Oreochromis niloticus: one gene and its partner. The protein of the gene in region 1 interacts with the protein of each later gene in a biochemical or structural test. Links are inferred from orthologs where the notes say so. Each region holds a gene or a part of one and is shown on either strand. Other genes may lie near its edges.

Region 1 (8,947 bases):
CTCTACACACGAGGGAAAAATATGAATTTTAAAACTTGATGCCAGTCACCTTTTGACCGCAGGTGGAACTGATTAAAAAAAAAAAAAGTTTCAGTCTAAAATCGTTGCATGGACTCAGGAACACCTCCAGTTCAGCGTGTCATCCACAAATCCGAGTCAAAGTGACAGAAACACAATCATCTTCTCTTGGTGGATTAGACTGAAGTGAAGGAAAACTGTTCTGTGGTCAGACGGCTAGAAATGTAAAATTCTTGCTGGAAAACATAAACACTATGTTCCAGACTAAAGAGGTAAGGGACAATCCAGCTTACTATCAGCGCTCAGTTCAAAAGCCTGCATCTCTGATGGTACTGGAACTTGCAGCTTGCACATCTGGAAAAACACCATCAGTGCTTAAAAGTATATACTGTTTAAAGAGCTTGGCTTTATAGTAGAAGAATTCAAGTGCTTAACTAACTGCTTGCTGTCCAAATCATTCATAAATTGAAAACATTTGTTGCATCACGAAACAAAAAATATGACAAAGAAGGCCCAGGACTGTCAAATAGCTAGAAGCCAGTTAGACAACAATGGGGCAGCATCTCTCTCCTAAAAGTTAATCAACTGGTTTCCTCAGTTCCCAAATGTTTATGGGCTGTTTTTAAAAAGAAGAAGGGGCTCTACACAGCAGTAAATATGACCCTCACTGTTTTGAGATGTGTCACTGCCATCAAATTCAAAATGTCCTTGCCTCTTAAAATGGCCCATTTTCTCAGTTTAAACATTATGATATGATATGTTTTCTGTATTATATTGTGAATAAAATATGGGTTTATGGAAAATGCGAATCATTGCATTCTGCTTTTTATTGCAACAAAATTATTCGATTGCAACAAACTGAAGAGCAAACTTGGAGCAAATAAAAGTCTTTACTGTTCTGAAAAACATGAGTAGAGTGAGCTCACAGAAAAGCAACTGCTTCACCATTTGACCCTCTAGAAATTGTGTACAGCTCACTGAGCATGACTCGGCAAGTGGGTTCTCCCGGTTGGCAGAGAGGGTTTCCATGCTCTCTCACTCCATCTCTTCCCTACACATGTCTGCTTTTATCCCTCAGCTATCCTTTTGGCCCAGAAATGTCATTGTCACTCATCTTGCTGAATGGAACACTAGCCAGTGGGCGCCTGAAATGCCACCGGCTCTGTGTGCAGACAAACAGTGAATGCATGGCTTTGGTGTAAATATTCAGTTTAGAAATTCATGCAAATGCGCGTTTGTGTGTGACCAAGGAAGAATGTACATAAATATAGCTGAAGATAAAATTAAGCAAGCATGGATCTACCTACTTGAACTTGCATAAAGTAGCTTAGTCAGAAAAAACATCAACATAAAGAAGTGATCTTGTGAGTTATAGTTGAAAAACAGAAAGCAAACATAAGGAAAACATCTTAAAGTCACTGAGAAGGGATCGAAATTCTCTTCAACAGCGACCAGTGTTGCCTCCATGAACTAGGTCAGAATACATACACGCACATGTGTTTGCACACACCACTGCACACATAAACAAAATCCATGTATGTAAGGTTTTTAGCACGTCCATTATGGATGAGATGCTAAGAGAGAAACAGCAGGGAGGATGAAGGCAACGAGGAAGATGGAAGAGTAGTGGTAGAGATATTGATGGAGAGTAATTATATTAAGGAAAAGTAGCTTCTTTGGTCTTATAATTAAAATTATACAGCATCCATATACACATACCCAAGACTGTCTCAGGAAAAGATGGTTTTCATATTCCTGTGCCCACATTATGACCAGATGTCAAGTTAAGCCACAAGGAAAGAGCAATAAAAAGCATCGAGGAAGCATCTAGCACTTTAGAATGACAATGGCAATGTTTACCATGTTAACTGTTTCAGCAGTTACTTACATACTTAGAAAATCTGTTGCAGACAACAGAAAAATATGAATTCTGGATATAATTCATCATCTGGGGATGATTTGGATATTTGTACCACGAAGAATTGGATGCAGATTCAACAGATGTCAAAACATTTCACAGCAAACTCAAAAATGTAAAACTCATGGAAACTCTAAAGGAAAAGCCAGAGGATCATGGAAACTGGATCTGGATTCCGTGTCCTGGAGACAATAAATGTTTGTTTATGTATTTGTTTATGGACCATCCCTAGAGTTAATAGGGTTGATTTTTGAATAGGCAAATATTATGAAACAAAACCCAGTGTTGGTTATTAACATGTAAAACACTAAAAGAGATGTGTGTATAGGGTTTATATCATACATATGTAGTATGTTGATGCAGTGATTGAAATTGTCAGGACAGTAGCCAAGAAAGTAGAGAAAGAGCAAGGGGGACTGACATGCAGAAAATAGTTGAACCCAGTGGCCTTTCAGCAGTGGGTCACCTGCCTAGTCAAGTAAGCTACTGTGTAGCAGCACCATGTGAATGGTGTACTTTGCACAAAAATACACCTTTAACAAAACTTTACCCTTTTTTAAAAGCTTCATATAAGTTTGAACAAACTTATATGAAGCTTTGTTTTCATGTAGTACTGAATAAGGTGGCATTGTGCTGTGACAGAGCTGGGGAGAAAGAGCCAAGAGGAAGAGATGGAATATTCACTGTATTCTGAGGTAGGATTATGGCTAAGTGCATTTGATTACGGCTTTATCAAAACTGACCTCACTGTGAACACAGTTTCATTACAGAGGAGCTGTTTTGTGTGTGTCAACAGAAAACTGGGAGAAATAAGTAAATATTGCTTTCATCAGACTTGGACTCGCCTCTGTGCTGCTCGGAGAGGAATGTGATATCGCATTTGTTATTTTACTGCAGAGACCAGCGAAGCGCATGCTGCTAGTTTTAATCATATTTGTCTGACAGACTCTAGTTTGTTCATGTAAACTATGTGTCTTTCTCACACATAAAAGTCTGTCATGCTTTGACTGACAGCTTTTAAGTTGTACTCGCTTCCCTTAAGTAATATTATTAAAGAACACTGCATACATTTTCATTTCTATGTCAGTGACACCAAACTTTATTTATACAATTGTGCCTTCTGTGGCTTCAAATGACGCAATTCAAATACATTTGTAGCTATAAAAGCTTTGATGTGAAATTTTGTACTTCTAATTTCAGTTTTGAACCTAAATCTCAAAAATATTTTGTATTATAAGATACTTATTCTTGCCTCCAGCAACACTGTGAGGAATTTTTGACCAAGATATGTCCTTTAACTCATCCATTACACAAATATTCAGGTACCTTCCTTCATCTGCGCAATATCACTAAAATTATAACCATCCTGTTTGTGATGCTGGAAAACTGGTCCATGCATTTGTTACCTCTGCTGGACTACTGTAAGTTATTATCAGGCTGTTTTGAAAGCTTTCTAAAAAGCCTTCAGTTGATCCAAAATGCCACAGTGAGATTACTAACAGAGACTTGTGAGAGAGATCATATTTCTTCTTTATTAGGTTATCTTTATTGGCTCCCTGTTAAATTCAGAATTGAATTAGAAAAGAAACCTTCTCACAAACAAAGTCTTGAGTGAAATCCTAGTAACATATTATCCCAACAGAGCTCTTCACTCTCATACTACAGACTTACTTGTGGTTCCTAAAGTTTCTAAATGCAGAATGAGAAGCAGAGCCTTCAGCTATCACCCTGTACTATGAAACCAGCTCCCCCTTGGGTTCAGGACACAGACATACTCTCTACTTTTAAAACTTTCCTTTTTGATAAATTGTGTAGTTATGATTGGATCAGGTGACACAGATGCCATTATTACATATTATGAATGGTTGTCTTCTTTATTGTTGCTCTGTGGTTACCCCTACAAAAGTCTGATTCCGCCTGCAGTGGCCTCCTGTTGAAAGGGAGTTCTTCCTCCACACTGCCCCCAAGTGGTTGCTCACAGGGGTTTTTCTCTAATTCTGTAGGATCCTTACCTTACAGTATGATGAACTCTGAGATGGCCTTTTCTCTGAACTGGTGCTATACAAATAAGGTTAATTGGCAACAAGTCAGTAACATGACCGAAGGGTGGCTGGCCCTTCTCTTAGAAATAGCATGAGGAGTTGAGTCATTAGCAAAGGGCAAAAAGTAGACCCCTTCTCCTTTACATTGAAGGGCCACTTGAGATGGTTTAGGCATCTGACTACGATGCCCCCTGGGCACCTCCTGGGTGAGGTGTTGCAGACATGTCCCACTGTGTGGAAGCCCCATGGCAGACCCATGACATGCTGGAGAGATTACATCTCTCAACTGGCCTGGAGACACACTCAATGTTCCCCCCTGATAGTCCACAGGTGGATGGATATAAAGCTATTTTTTATTTTACCTTTCATTTTCTGAAGCCTTTGTGGTCATACAAAGTCCTGCAAATCTCAAAATAAAAAAAAACAGCTGAATTTTATCTTCTTATAGTTGAAAGAACCCTAATTCAGACTTAAACTGGAGAATACATTCAAAACTATCATGTTACTATTATCCTGAAAACTGTGGCAGTTTAGTACTGTTTGTTTTATTACGGTTCAAATTGAATGCAAGGTGTTAAACATTATGTTGTACCTTTACTTTGGTTTATATAAAAATAATATTGTTCAAGGTAGAGTTTTGCAGGTCCAAAGAAGTCTTTGAGGAAACATCCTTAGCCTCAGTGCACCACTTATATTGTTAGACATCAAACATGTAACACATGCTGGAAAGATTTTTGCTTTTCATAACGGCGTGATTGTAATATTTACTGTAAAAGGTTTCAGCTTACAGAAATTCGTACATCAAGGGCTTTTGGGGCACAAGAAGAAAATTTGATTCTATATGTAAGATAACATGTTTACAGCTCAAAATGTGTTTTGGAACAGATTTAGCCTTCCAGTATGAATCATAATGAGTAGGCTCACGTCTCCTGCAGTGAACAGCAGCTCACTGAGGGAAAAGCCTGAGTTATTACAAAAGTGTGATTCAGATATAAAAAATGACAATAATGTGAAAGCGTGCAAATTTCGACTAAAAATCAAGGCTAAACTCATTGAAGATCAGGATTACAGTCATAATGACTTTAGTCACTAATAACCTGTTTTACTGGTCACTAAAGTCCGTAAATGCGCTCACACATGCCTGCTACTTCGTAAACAGCAAAATTATAAAATGAATGTAAAATGAATGGATCATTAAATATATACGTAATATATATAATAATATATAAATGTATTCACCTAGACCTACTCCAGATATTATCCAAATGTCTAAGAGAAGCTTTTCAGCATTGTTAAACACGGCTGTGGGCTTGAAAGCATTTCATACAGTGGTAAAGGCAATTAAGTTTAAGCACGCATTTTTCCGCTACTCCACAGCTTCGAACATGGTTGCAACAGCAAGCGGGAACTGCTTGTGTTTTCGTGTGTGAACTTCCTCTTCGCAGACGCACTTGTCGATGCGCATCCTCTACCCTGCTACTCGGTCTGTTCCTTTAAAAGCTCACAGCCCACGCCTCGAAAAGCGGCTTGTTCCGGCTTGCCCCTTTACATCTTTTTATCCTTGCTCACAACATTAAACTAGTGCCATCCTCATCACATCGCTCCCCTGACCCTTACGCACCAGCCTTTGAAGCCGAACCGCGGTGCAGTTAGTAAATCGTATCTGGGGAGGAGCGTGGCCCTGTCTGTCCGTGCAGCTCGGTGCTGAGTCCGATGATGAGGGCCAGTTCGGGAACCATCAGTGGCGGAGCAATACCACCATCTCCTAGTTTCAGCTTCGGTTTGTCAAGCAGAGGGCGTGTGGCTCACCGTACCTGAGAGGAGCGAGCGTCTCTTGTCACGTATTCTGCGAAAGGGGGGCAGAGGATTAAAAGCGGACCAAGGCACCTGTCTCTACTGCTCTGGGATGCCGTGCCGTGTCAGTGTCGCATTAAAAATAATGTTTCCCCTGTGCTTGTTTTGCAACTGATGAAGAATAATTTTGAAGGCATGTTCACGTGGATGGCTATGAATATGTTTATTCCGGTGTTCTGGTGTAACGCGTGAGGTAAGTGACTTATCCAGAGGTGCGCGCTACTTTCTCCCGCTGCTCAGTTTTTCTGCAATGCCTTTGACATCTCGGGGTTGTTTACATGTTTTTGTTTAGCTTTTTTATTCCCCATTCGTTTGCAAATAAGAGCTTGTATCGTGGCTCATGATCTAAAAAAAACCAAACAAACAATGTCTATAGTAACCATCATGCTCCTAGCGCATTAATTTCTGGAATTGGCACTGGTGTTATATTAAAAGAAGGTGGGCTGTAGTTGAAATGAAGTGACAGCACTTAAGTGAGCTGGGAATACAAACGAGGGGCTTTTCTGGAAAGAGTTGAGGCACTCAGTGGCAATATGTGAAGCGATATGAAAGTAGATGTGCTGCTGTAATGGTGGAGACTGCTTAATGTTGGCTCTAGTGCGCGGAGATCGCTTCCAAGCCAATGTGAAATTTATGGAGTAACATCGCTGTTGCTGAGAGAGTGACTTCTTGAGCCGTAGCAGAGCAGCTTCCAAGTTCAGGTGTTGCATATTATTTACCGCCGCTGTCATCGTAAAGTTTAAGCATGCAGCATGGCCGCCCTGCAGGGAAGGTTACTGTATAACCTGCTGATTTGCAACTGGAAGCAACCTCGTGTTCTAACATTATTAACCAAAGGTGCAGCAGCCCTCCCTCCACTTTGCTGCAGACACAAATCACAGGCCAAGTGAAAAAGACTATGGTGCAGTGTGTATATATGCTGTATAAAACAACCAGCAGCAGCTTTGTGAGATGTATGAGTGCCCTGCCTCCCATGCAGACACTACCCCCACACACTGTGATGACAGACGTAATGAATAAATAATCACACAAGCCCACATACCCCTACAGTACACTGAAAAAACAAGTGACATGACATGGTGAAACAAGTGATATGAAATGTAATAAACTCACGACAGGGTTATTTTGGCAGTGTTATGGCCAAGAGTTGCGAAGCTATGACAAGATTTAAAACGAGATGTGTGGTAATTCCAGTGTATTGGTGCGACTTTATGTTATGGTTTTATATCGCAACCTCGAAGTGCATCAGCGTCCTGTGCTCCCTGCGCAGCAGATTGGATTTTCTGTGCCCTTTGAGAGTCTTGCAAACAATTACCTGGCGCCATCATTTCTCAGTGTTAAAGTCTAACTTTCCCTTCATCCTTTATCTGCTGCTGACTGTCATTTGCATTTATTGTTTCCACTTTACAGCACAGAGGTGCTGCTACCTACTCAAATAGAAAGTTTTCATTCATATAAAAACTGTCACTGTGAAGTGAGGTTTTCCGATTTGCGATTTTGAAGTATCCATTAAACTTTAAAATGTAAACACTGAGAGATGTTATTAAAATGTTATTGGCAGCAGTGTGGTGGGCGTAAAGTTTCAGCCTTGTTGTGCTTCGATGTTCCCACGAGGCTATGGAAACGAGTGGATGGTAAAATTATGGCTGTGATATTTGTGAGGTTGAATTTAACAGGTCATTGGCACATTGGCGAAAAGTGTTAAAAGTCACGAGTATTTAGAAATATTTCAGCCTTTTTTCATATACTGTGTGGACATATTTCAGAGGCATTAAATATGAATAAACTAGAGCTGTGATGTGTTCATTACTGTGTTCATTGCTTTGTAGTGATGTTTTTCTTGAGTGTTGAGGTCTATATCTGCTTATCTAGCACTAATGTGGTAAAAGCATGTGGGTTATGTGCATATTGCTGCACCTATTATAGACTCACAGTATCTGGAATGCTCTTGAGAAGGGGCTAGCGGACCTCAAATTACTCTAAATTCCTCTGGTTTAGGTTCAACTCAGCCTCTAAAGCTTTGTGAGTAATGTTTGCTTGCCCATGAATCCTTAAGGATCCCATTCAGTGTATCTATGTTAGTACATGTGTAATAAAAATGGTCTTAGAGTAACAGGAGCATGAGTCCAAGAAAGAATAAATGCCTTTATCAGCCACATACAGTATAGACCTCTTATGGTGTCAAGCCACGGACCTCTCACTTGTAGTTTTGTTTTTTGGGTTTTTTTTATTTTACCTTGATTTTATAGTTTAGAATAGACGTGGGACAAAATACTGATATAGCAATATGTATCGTACCACTTACTCTTGCCAGATACTCTACTGATATTTAAAACATGTGGGATTAAAACGTGATTTCCTGCCAAGTAAATTACGTTTCGGTGGAAAAAGTAGGGGAACCCAACAACTCCCCCACCCACCCAACTCCACTTTATTGTAAAACTCTTGAAAGCATTAATATGTTTTGCGAGAATGTCCTTGGCCTTCATAAGCAGCATTAACTAAGCATGTTTTTCAATGGCAGGAGGAACCGGAGGTCCCAGAGGAAACCGTGTACAGAGAAAACATGCAAACTCCACACAAAAAAAAGGCGTTGGGTTTTGAACCTGTGACCTTGAGCGACTGTGGTGCCTTATTCAGTAGCAGTCATAATACACACTGACACTAACACCACAGCACAGCGTATCAATACATAATTAGTGCTTTGTGCCTCTTCTGTGTTTTTTTCTTCTTTTCTGTTTACACAGATGTTGTGATGAATCACAGGGGGGGTCTTGTCATGCTGGTATTGTATTGTGAAGCCTCGATACAGGAAATGTGGATTGACAATAAAAGGGAATGTCAGGCATCCAAATACATTACGTCAGAATTTGGCTTAGAGACAGTACAGTTATCTGTGTGTCTGAACATCTTGGACTGCAAAGCCACAAGGAGGCCCTAAACTTGTAGCTGTCACAGCCAATTTAAGATTGCATTTTCTAAGCACTACATAACTGCTTTCCTATTTCACTTTTACTGTGCGATGTTGGCCTTAAAATTGTTTAGAAATACTAATATAAATATTCATACACAGAAGTGTATGAAGAAGTAGTGCTGCCCCTGAAGGGTCTCTCTG
Region 2 (8,116 bases), on another chromosome or scaffold:
GTGGGTTCCTGTCACGAATGGCTGAGGTAGTGTTACAAGTCTAGACCAAGATTACGAGGACAGGAGTGCTATTCAGATTGTGATAGAAATCTAATTAAATCAAATAATGTGTACAATCATCTTCTTTTCATCCAAGTAAAAACTGCTTGTTTTCTTGAGTCACTTTATTTTCCCTCATGTAGGAAATATTTTTTCCCCAGAGAAAGCAAACATTTTGTCACGATCTGCGGCCTGCAGATCATGTGAAACTGAATGAGGGCCCCAATGCAGGAGACACTGACAGGCAGGAACAAGTTAACATAAAGTGAGCTTTCTATTAAGACTGATCGAAAAGGTATAAAATAAGAGAAACCAAAATGGAACAAATTAAACTGGGAAATACGAGGAAACATGGAACCTGAACGACAGGAGGGTGGCTGAGGAAACACTCAGACTAGGGGGGAGACTGAGATAATATGTACACAAATGATGCAAATGATGCATGAAAATAATCTGGAGCTAATTTGCTTTCGTGTAGCAATTAAACTGATATTAAATATAGAGACACCAAAGGAGATGAACCAGTCAGTTTAATCTCGGAGCTTTTTTTTTTTTTTTTTTTTTTTTAAACGATGCAAACAACACAGACAATATTTTAGCTTTACCAAAGACGATGAGCTTAACATGCATATGTATTGATGGTAATTATATATTATTATTCTATTCAAAATGGACATGCAGTGTGTTCTTACCACCTGCTAACTTTAACACAGTTAATATTCTGACATCTCCAGTGAATCCTCGAGGTCACTGACTAGAATCCACTGCAGCTAAAGGAAACCAGTGTACCACTTACCACAACGCAAAAGCTGACCCAGGCAGAGAATCAAACTGGACCTCCAAACGGAGAGCAGGAAACAACTCATCATGAACCTTCAGCTTTCAGGCTCAGCACTTTACGTCCTCGGCATAGCCTCTGTGATCAAGCTCTTAGTCTGTGTGAAAATCTGCCTGTGTCTTTTCACACTTGTTAAAGTGGTTTATGTTTCCTGTCGGTGACCTAGAGCAAGAGGAAGTCTGAGATATTTCCTGCATACTCTACATTATTCATGACTTCTGTGTATGTGTACAGGTGGATTGGTGGAGATCAGTAACATCGCTCGTTTTTTTTCCATCCTCGATCGAAACATTGGATGGTTACACGCGTGGTTAGACAACCTTAAGCTGAGCGGGCTCATAAGTAGGGCACCAAACAGTTCATTATGTTCATTTCTATGTAGCGGTTTCAGTGGGAGAAACGTTTCGTCACTCACCCAAGTGACTTCTTCAGTCTCAACTTTTGCATAATGACTGAAACTTGGTGCTAGTTTCAGTCATTGTGCAGAGATGCTGTTTAAAAGGTTGGGGGGGAAACCTGCAGTCAGCTGCGACTGAGATGATACTTCCAGATGAACGGAATAAACTTTTTGGGAAAACATATGTAACTTTTCGATTATTCATCGACTTCCTTTAAAATATGGTTGCATAGCATGATCATATTGTTGCATAGGCAGCTTGTGAGATAACGTGGTTGCGGTCAAATTGTGTTGCGTAGAAATGGCCCTTTAACCATCCCCATCTGAGTTTGACCCAGTTTTTGCAAACAGTGATAATTTGAATGCATTTGTTTGAACGATCCTGTAGATTAATGACGCAATATTGCCATCTGGTGGAGACCAGAAAGACGTACAGTTCTACACAGTCAAATCAGCGTTTCAACATTTAGACTGTTTAAACATGGTGGAAAACGTTTGATATAATAGAGACAAGCTAAGAAAGAGAAGGGGTAAACATTTTATCGAGTTCATACAAACAAGAAAATTTAATGATGTATGCAGAAGAAATACAGGATTTAAGAAGCCCATAAGTGATATTTCAATCCAGAATGACTATTATGAATTCAAAAACAGTGGGGGAAAAATGATGCCATGATGTAGCTTATTAATAACTAATAAAGTCTCAGTATTTTGTTATAATCTACACTCATCCATCACTTTGTTAGGTGCATTACTGTGCATAAGTTTTAAAACACCCCTCATTTCTTTAACAACATCCCAAAGTGGCCAATATTATGCTGATGGTTGTTATGGTATATACTGGAAAATGACAGATAGGTGCAGCAAGGTATTCATATGCAAAGATAAATGGTAATATGGTATTTAAGGAGCTAGAAAATCCATATTTGGTATGATCATCTTCGACACTCTCTACAAGGCAAGTTGTCCTTGGGAATAGTTCTCCGGGCTTCTTATAGAACATTTAGTTCCCTTTTTGGGATGTCGGCTGCCTTTTTTCTCCATTCTGTATCAAGATGATCCCACACTGCTTTGGTAATGTACAGGTCTGGGCTTTGGGGAGGCCAGTCCATGACTTTTACTGCATTGACAGTGAACTTTTTGTTCATAATTCCATCAATTTTGACAAGATTCCCAACACCACTGGCTGAAATTCTGCCCCAAGCACTCCACAATGTTTTACAGATGTGTGTAATGACACATGTATAACACTTACTGCTGTACAGCTTTTAACCAAAAAGTTCAAATTTGGAGTCATCACTCTATATGACATGTTGCAACTGATTTTCAGTTCAGCAGTTCAGTTCTTGTGTAATTTGATATATCTCAGCCTTTTTTCCCCGTTTCCTTTCCTTGAGAATTGCTTCTTGACATCCACCCTTCAAAGATACCATTTCTGATGGTGCTTCAATGAACAGTAGATGGATCAGATGAAGGGCCAGATGCATTTTTCAGGTTTTGTGTCAGGTCCTTCAGGTCCTCACCCCTGGACTCTTTTCTTGTTAGGATATGATCTTCAAATAAGGTTCATTTGTGTCATAAGTTTTGGTCTTGTCCAGTTCTCCCTAAAAGTTTTAAAGACACACTACACAATATGGTGAGATATGGTATGTTTTGGGGGTATCTCTTTTAGAATCACTTTGTTGGTGCAAAAACAAAATTTTATGCCTGTTAAAAGATGTTGTCTTCAACTAAAACAAATGGGGACAAATAAAGCATTGCTGTGTAGACACAACACTGATTGAAGTTCCTTTTTTTAATGCTTCAGTGATTCATTGAAGTCAAGTGGCTCAACAAACTTGTCAGAATTGCTCTGAAAATGGTCAGATACAAAGACTGGACTAAAAATGAGTGGAAAAACATCAACATGTCAAAAAAAGGAGAAAAAAAACTTTTAAAGACCTGAAGAAGGACTATATAACTATTGCTTAAGAATACTTGAACAAACAAACAAACTATCAACAAACCAAACAAATCAGAATGAGAAATAATATGATTTGAGTAGCTTTGAACATGGCATGGGTTATAGTGTTTCAGAAACTGCTAATCTGTTGGGATTTTGTCACGAAACCATCTCTAGCATTTACAAAGAATGGTCAGAAAAAGAGAAGAGATCCAGTGAGACATCAATCATGCATTTTTTGTGTGCGAAAATGTCTTTTTTGATGGCAGAGGTCAGAGGAAAATGTCAGACCTGTTTTGAACTGACAGGAGCAATTCGTTACAACCAAAGTAAGCATAAGAGCAACTTGAACGCATAACATGTCAAACGTGTCAAGGTTGCACTTCTGTCAGTGAAGAACAGGAAACTGAGTCTACAGTTTACACAGACTGAAGATGGTGAAAAAATGTTGTCTGGTCTGATGAGTCTGCTGGTAGGGTTAGAATCTGGCATAAACAACATGAAAAGATGGGTCTATCCTACCTTGTATCAACGGTTTACACTGCTGGAGGTGCGATGATGCAGGAGAGATTTTCTTGGGACAGTTTGGCCCCTTTACTACCAAATGAACATCATTTAAATGTCGCAGCCTACCTGAGTATTGCTGCTGAACATGTCCATACCTTCATGACCACAATGTGACCATCTTGTGATAGCTGCTTCTAACATGATAGTGCCATCATGTCAGTATGGACCAAAATTTCTGATGAATGTTTCCAGCACCTTGTTGAATCTACAAGAAGAATCAAGGTAGTTATGAAGGCAGAAAGGAGGTCCAACCCAGAATGAGCAAAATGCATCTAATAGAGCTGCCAGTGAGTTTATCTTACTACTTTGCATTTGAATGACTGCACAATACTAAAATACATGTGATGTATATTGGAGGGCAGAGTGCTGCCTTTTTGTTGTCAATACTAATTAAGGACAAAAACAAAAAACAATGTGTTTTTTTTGTTTTGTTTTTCGGCTTTTTGCTGGGTTTACTTGGACACTTTTACCGTCTCCGGCTTCTAAATCTGGTAAAATGTCACAATCTAAGGCTCCTCTTCTGATGAATCACAAACTTGCACAACCACAGAGTTCTTAAGACGAGCATACGTCAAAATGGTCGTGAATGAATGCCTCTAGGGGTTTGAGGGACTTTCTCATGTATGGGAAGACAAGCACGTCATCTTTCATGTTTCCCACCGTGATACAACCTGCTGGTTTAGATAGAAAGGTAGCCCTCTAGTTAAACTTGGACTTACGGCGCCAGTGTGATGGCGCGATGCAAGAAAACTCAAGATGAGGAGTTCACAGGAGCGTTACGCTTATGTTTGAGATTAAATACTTTTATCCCAACTAGGTTAAGCTGCTGAGCAGACGTCTTTTTCTTTTTTCTTTTTTCTTTGCAGTCATCTTTTTCATCGAAGAGACCTCCCATCATTGTCTGTGATAAAAAAACAAAGAAAGGCAAAAAACTGTCTAGCTTAGAGAGAAATTTACTCAGCTGAAGACGAAGGGGAAGTGTTATGCATACGCATGTCCCTTACAGAACAGGAATAGGAAGTATGAAGAAGACAGGAAAAAACACAAATCCACTTCTCAAAGCAAAAGAACTGCTGCAAGCGTAAACCACAAATGCTTGTGCACTTTCTATGTAGGCTACGTGTGCAGGTGTTTCTGAAGGTGGCTGTATGCTGCTCTTCTGCAGAAAGGGAGTTTTGAAGCTCTGCTGGTGTGAAAGATGAGTGACTCACTGGAGAGGACTACAGACTGTCCTTTGCCGCTTCTCGCTGAGGAGTCCAGCGTGAACGAGGAGAAAGGGAATGTAACAGGACCAAGTGAGTTACGTTGGGAAGATGGAGGTCTGCCCATGGAGCTCCAGAAAGGGATGGAAACCCTACGAGTGAACAGAGAATTGACTGATGTGACACTGCGCGTTCAGGGTCATGACTTTGCTTGCCATAGAGCGATTCTGGCGGCTGCAAGTCACTACTTCAGGTAAATCATCATCTGGTCTTAAGTGTGTCGTGATCTCGGGCCTACTTGTTTTACTCACAAATTATGGCTGGTCTCTACAGGGCAATGTTTTGCAGCGGTCTCAAGGAGAGTCATGAGGAACGTGTGGAAATGAAAGGGTTGGACAGCGGGACAATGCACTGTCTCTTGGAGTATACCTACACCAGCCGAGCTCTCCTCACACACTCGAATGTCCAGAGAATACTCGAGGCTGCCAGTCAGTTTCAGGTAAAGCAGCTTAACTGATCTTTGTTGCTCAATCAGGGGTTTTTTTTGCAAAATCATTGTATGCAACATGTTGTTGTTGGTTTTTTTTTTTGCCAGGTCATTGACACTTTTTAACACCAAATGTAAAGATGTAGTGAAATCAAACAGCAGAGGCAAAAAAGTTCTACAAATCTTTGAGGTGTGAATTTAGACTTTAAAGACCAAGTGAATCATTTTTTACAAAGAAATTTGACCTTAACATGTTTTTCACATAAAGGCAGCACAGCTTGAATTTAAGTCCATAAAATAAATCAACCATAAAGTTTATAATTAATCTGACTGAAAGTTTGTTTCATTTGAGTTTAACTTGAAAAAGGTTTTTGGCAGCATATGATCTCTTTCACCTAATTTTTAAACCATCAACACCGTCGGTTTATACGATCTTTTTTATATCTGTTACATTTTAACCACCTGCATGTAAAGTCAGTTGGAACAAATAGGCCATCAAAGGAATGGTGACGCCTCGTGCTGAATTAGCAGCAGAAAGCAAACCACTTATTTCTAATTGGGATGATGGATTTGGTGTTGTGATGTGGAACTGTAATTAAATTTTTGAAACTGCTATCAGGTTCTTACTTCAGTTTTTTCCTCGCATAAAGGGAACAAACATGTGATTGGATGAGAAATTGGTTTTGCTAAGAGGGAAGTGAAAGTTGGTCAGTTGTTTACACTCAGGATCATTTTTCCATAAGGGCTTAAATTAACTACACAGCTGTGCCACACTGCACAGGAGGCAGGTGTTTGTGTTTGTGTGCTTCTATTTTTGCAAAAACACTTCGGGTGTTAAATTTTGATGATAATTACTTAAGGCACTCTTGCTGGATTTTCAGTGTAACTAAGAAGCAAGGTTAAGATCACATTAAGAGTTAGGGCTAAGATTATCATATGAGGCTAAATTTTATTTTATTTTATATCTTTAAAAAAGCTAATCAGGTATCTCATTTTATACTGGCTTTGTGAGAGAGCTTTGTAAATGCTTTTGCTGCAAGTAATAGATAAAAATATCCACAGTGATTCTGTTGAAATTCAAACGCAGGTTTTCAAAAGCTTATATAAATTCAGGCTAAGGCAGTTAGATAAGCAAAGTGGGTTCCGGGGAAAACTGTGGGCCTCTTTAGTCCAAAATTCTATTATTGTCCACTGATGGATTGTTTTCTTGCTGCAAATAAGAAAACAGTTGTTTGGTCTGATGCTCACAGACGTCTGAGGACTCACTGCATACAAATTATTGACTGTGTTATACTTTAGAAGGCATTTTTTTGCAGAAAAAGTCCCCTATCGCTTGCAATGGAAGTGCACTGGGACAGAATTGATTTACAGCCAGTTTACCAACAAGCAAATTCTAAGCCCTTAAAATTCAACTATAGCCATAATTGCCAATTTGGAGCAGCTTAATCAGCTACAAATAGCTTTAACCCATGCCTTTATTCTTTTTGTCTCTTTAGTTCCTGCGTGTGGTAGATGCGTGCTCTAGCTTTCTCAGCAAGTCTATGCAGCTAGACACCTGTATTGGCATCCTAAATCTGGCTGACAGACATGCCCTGTCAGCCCTGCGCTCCAGAGCTCAGGACTATATTACTACTCAATTCTCTCAAGTGGTCCAGCAGCAGGACTTCCTGGAGCTGCCAATGGAATCTCTGGAGACTGTCCTGCAGAGGGATGACCTGGATGTGAAGTGTGAGGAGTGTGTTTTTGAAGCACTCATGCACTGGGTGAGAGCCCGGCAGGATGAACGCTATCCCTTACTGGCCAGGTTGCTTACGCACGTACGATTGCCGCTGCTGGAGCCGGCATACTTTGTTGAGAAAGTGGAGTCAGATGAGCTGATACGACGGTGCAGCGAGGCTTTTCCTTTGTTGCAAGAGGCCCGCATTTATCATCTCTCTGGCAGGGAGGTCAGTATAAACCGCTGGGCATATTGTGTTTATTGTTGTTAATAATTGTTTGTCTCATGTCCAAGTTTCATATATGTTTGACCTTTTTTGCAGGTGGTCTCAGAACGAACCAAACCACGTGTGCAGCACTTTCTGTCAGAAGTATTCTTGATCATTGGAGGCTGCACCAAAGACGAACGCTTCATTTCCACTGTCACATGTTTGGACCCTCTCAGACGCAGCCGACTGGAGGTCGCCAGGATGCCATTGACAGAATTAGAGGATGAGTCCCAAAATAGAAAATGGGTGGAATTTGCTTGTATCACTTTCCACAATGAAGTATACATATCTGGTGAGTGAACATATTCTTTTTTCATAGAAAGGCTTCACTTGTGAAATTGTTCTGATGATTGCTCCTTGTTGTTATTACCCGTGAAGTGTGCACTTCACTGGTATTCAAATGTAATGAGAATTTAGGAATTTATAGTATGAACAAAACAAAACAACAGGAAGTCGTGACATTATTTCTGCACTAACAGTTGCTGTGGTTTTAGGTGTTTCCCAACGCAGGAACTGACAGTTCTAGTTAAGTGGAACACGCAGACTGTAAATGCTATGACTAGCACGCAGGATTTCTACATCTTTAAACAGCATGATAACTTAGTGCAGAGTCCCAACACAGTTATTACTAAAGACGGGTCATATGTCAGTATTTTGGA

Evidence for each region.
Region 2: the proteins of rc3h2 (region 1) and klhl6 form a complex in vitro, tested with the Homo sapiens proteins (2 studies listed by BioGRID, with this or other methods). The link is inferred for Oreochromis niloticus from reciprocal best matches to the Homo sapiens genes RC3H2 and KLHL6.

What each region holds. Positions count from the first base shown.
Region 1 is NC_031972.2:25,738,694-25,747,640, reverse strand, and holds the start of rc3h2 (roquin-2), read left to right. Parts: upstream 1-5,529; 5' UTR 5,530-6,025; intron 6,026-8,947. UniProt on the Homo sapiens protein: Post-transcriptional repressor of mRNAs containing a conserved stem loop motif, called constitutive decay element (CDE), which is often located in the 3'-UTR, as in HMGXB3, ICOS, IER3, NFKBID, NFKBIZ, PPP1R10, TNF and in many more mRNAs.
Region 2 is NC_031987.2:18,377,267-18,385,382, reverse strand, and holds the start of klhl6 (kelch-like protein 6), read left to right. Parts: upstream 1-4,494; 5' UTR 4,495-4,981; coding exon 4,982-5,238; intron 5,239-5,318; coding exon 5,319-5,484; intron 5,485-6,968; coding exon 6,969-7,418; intron 7,419-7,511; coding exon 7,512-7,749; intron 7,750-8,116. Other genes in the region: immunoglobulin superfamily member 3, read right to left, coding at 836-908. UniProt on the Homo sapiens protein: Involved in B-lymphocyte antigen receptor signaling and germinal center formation.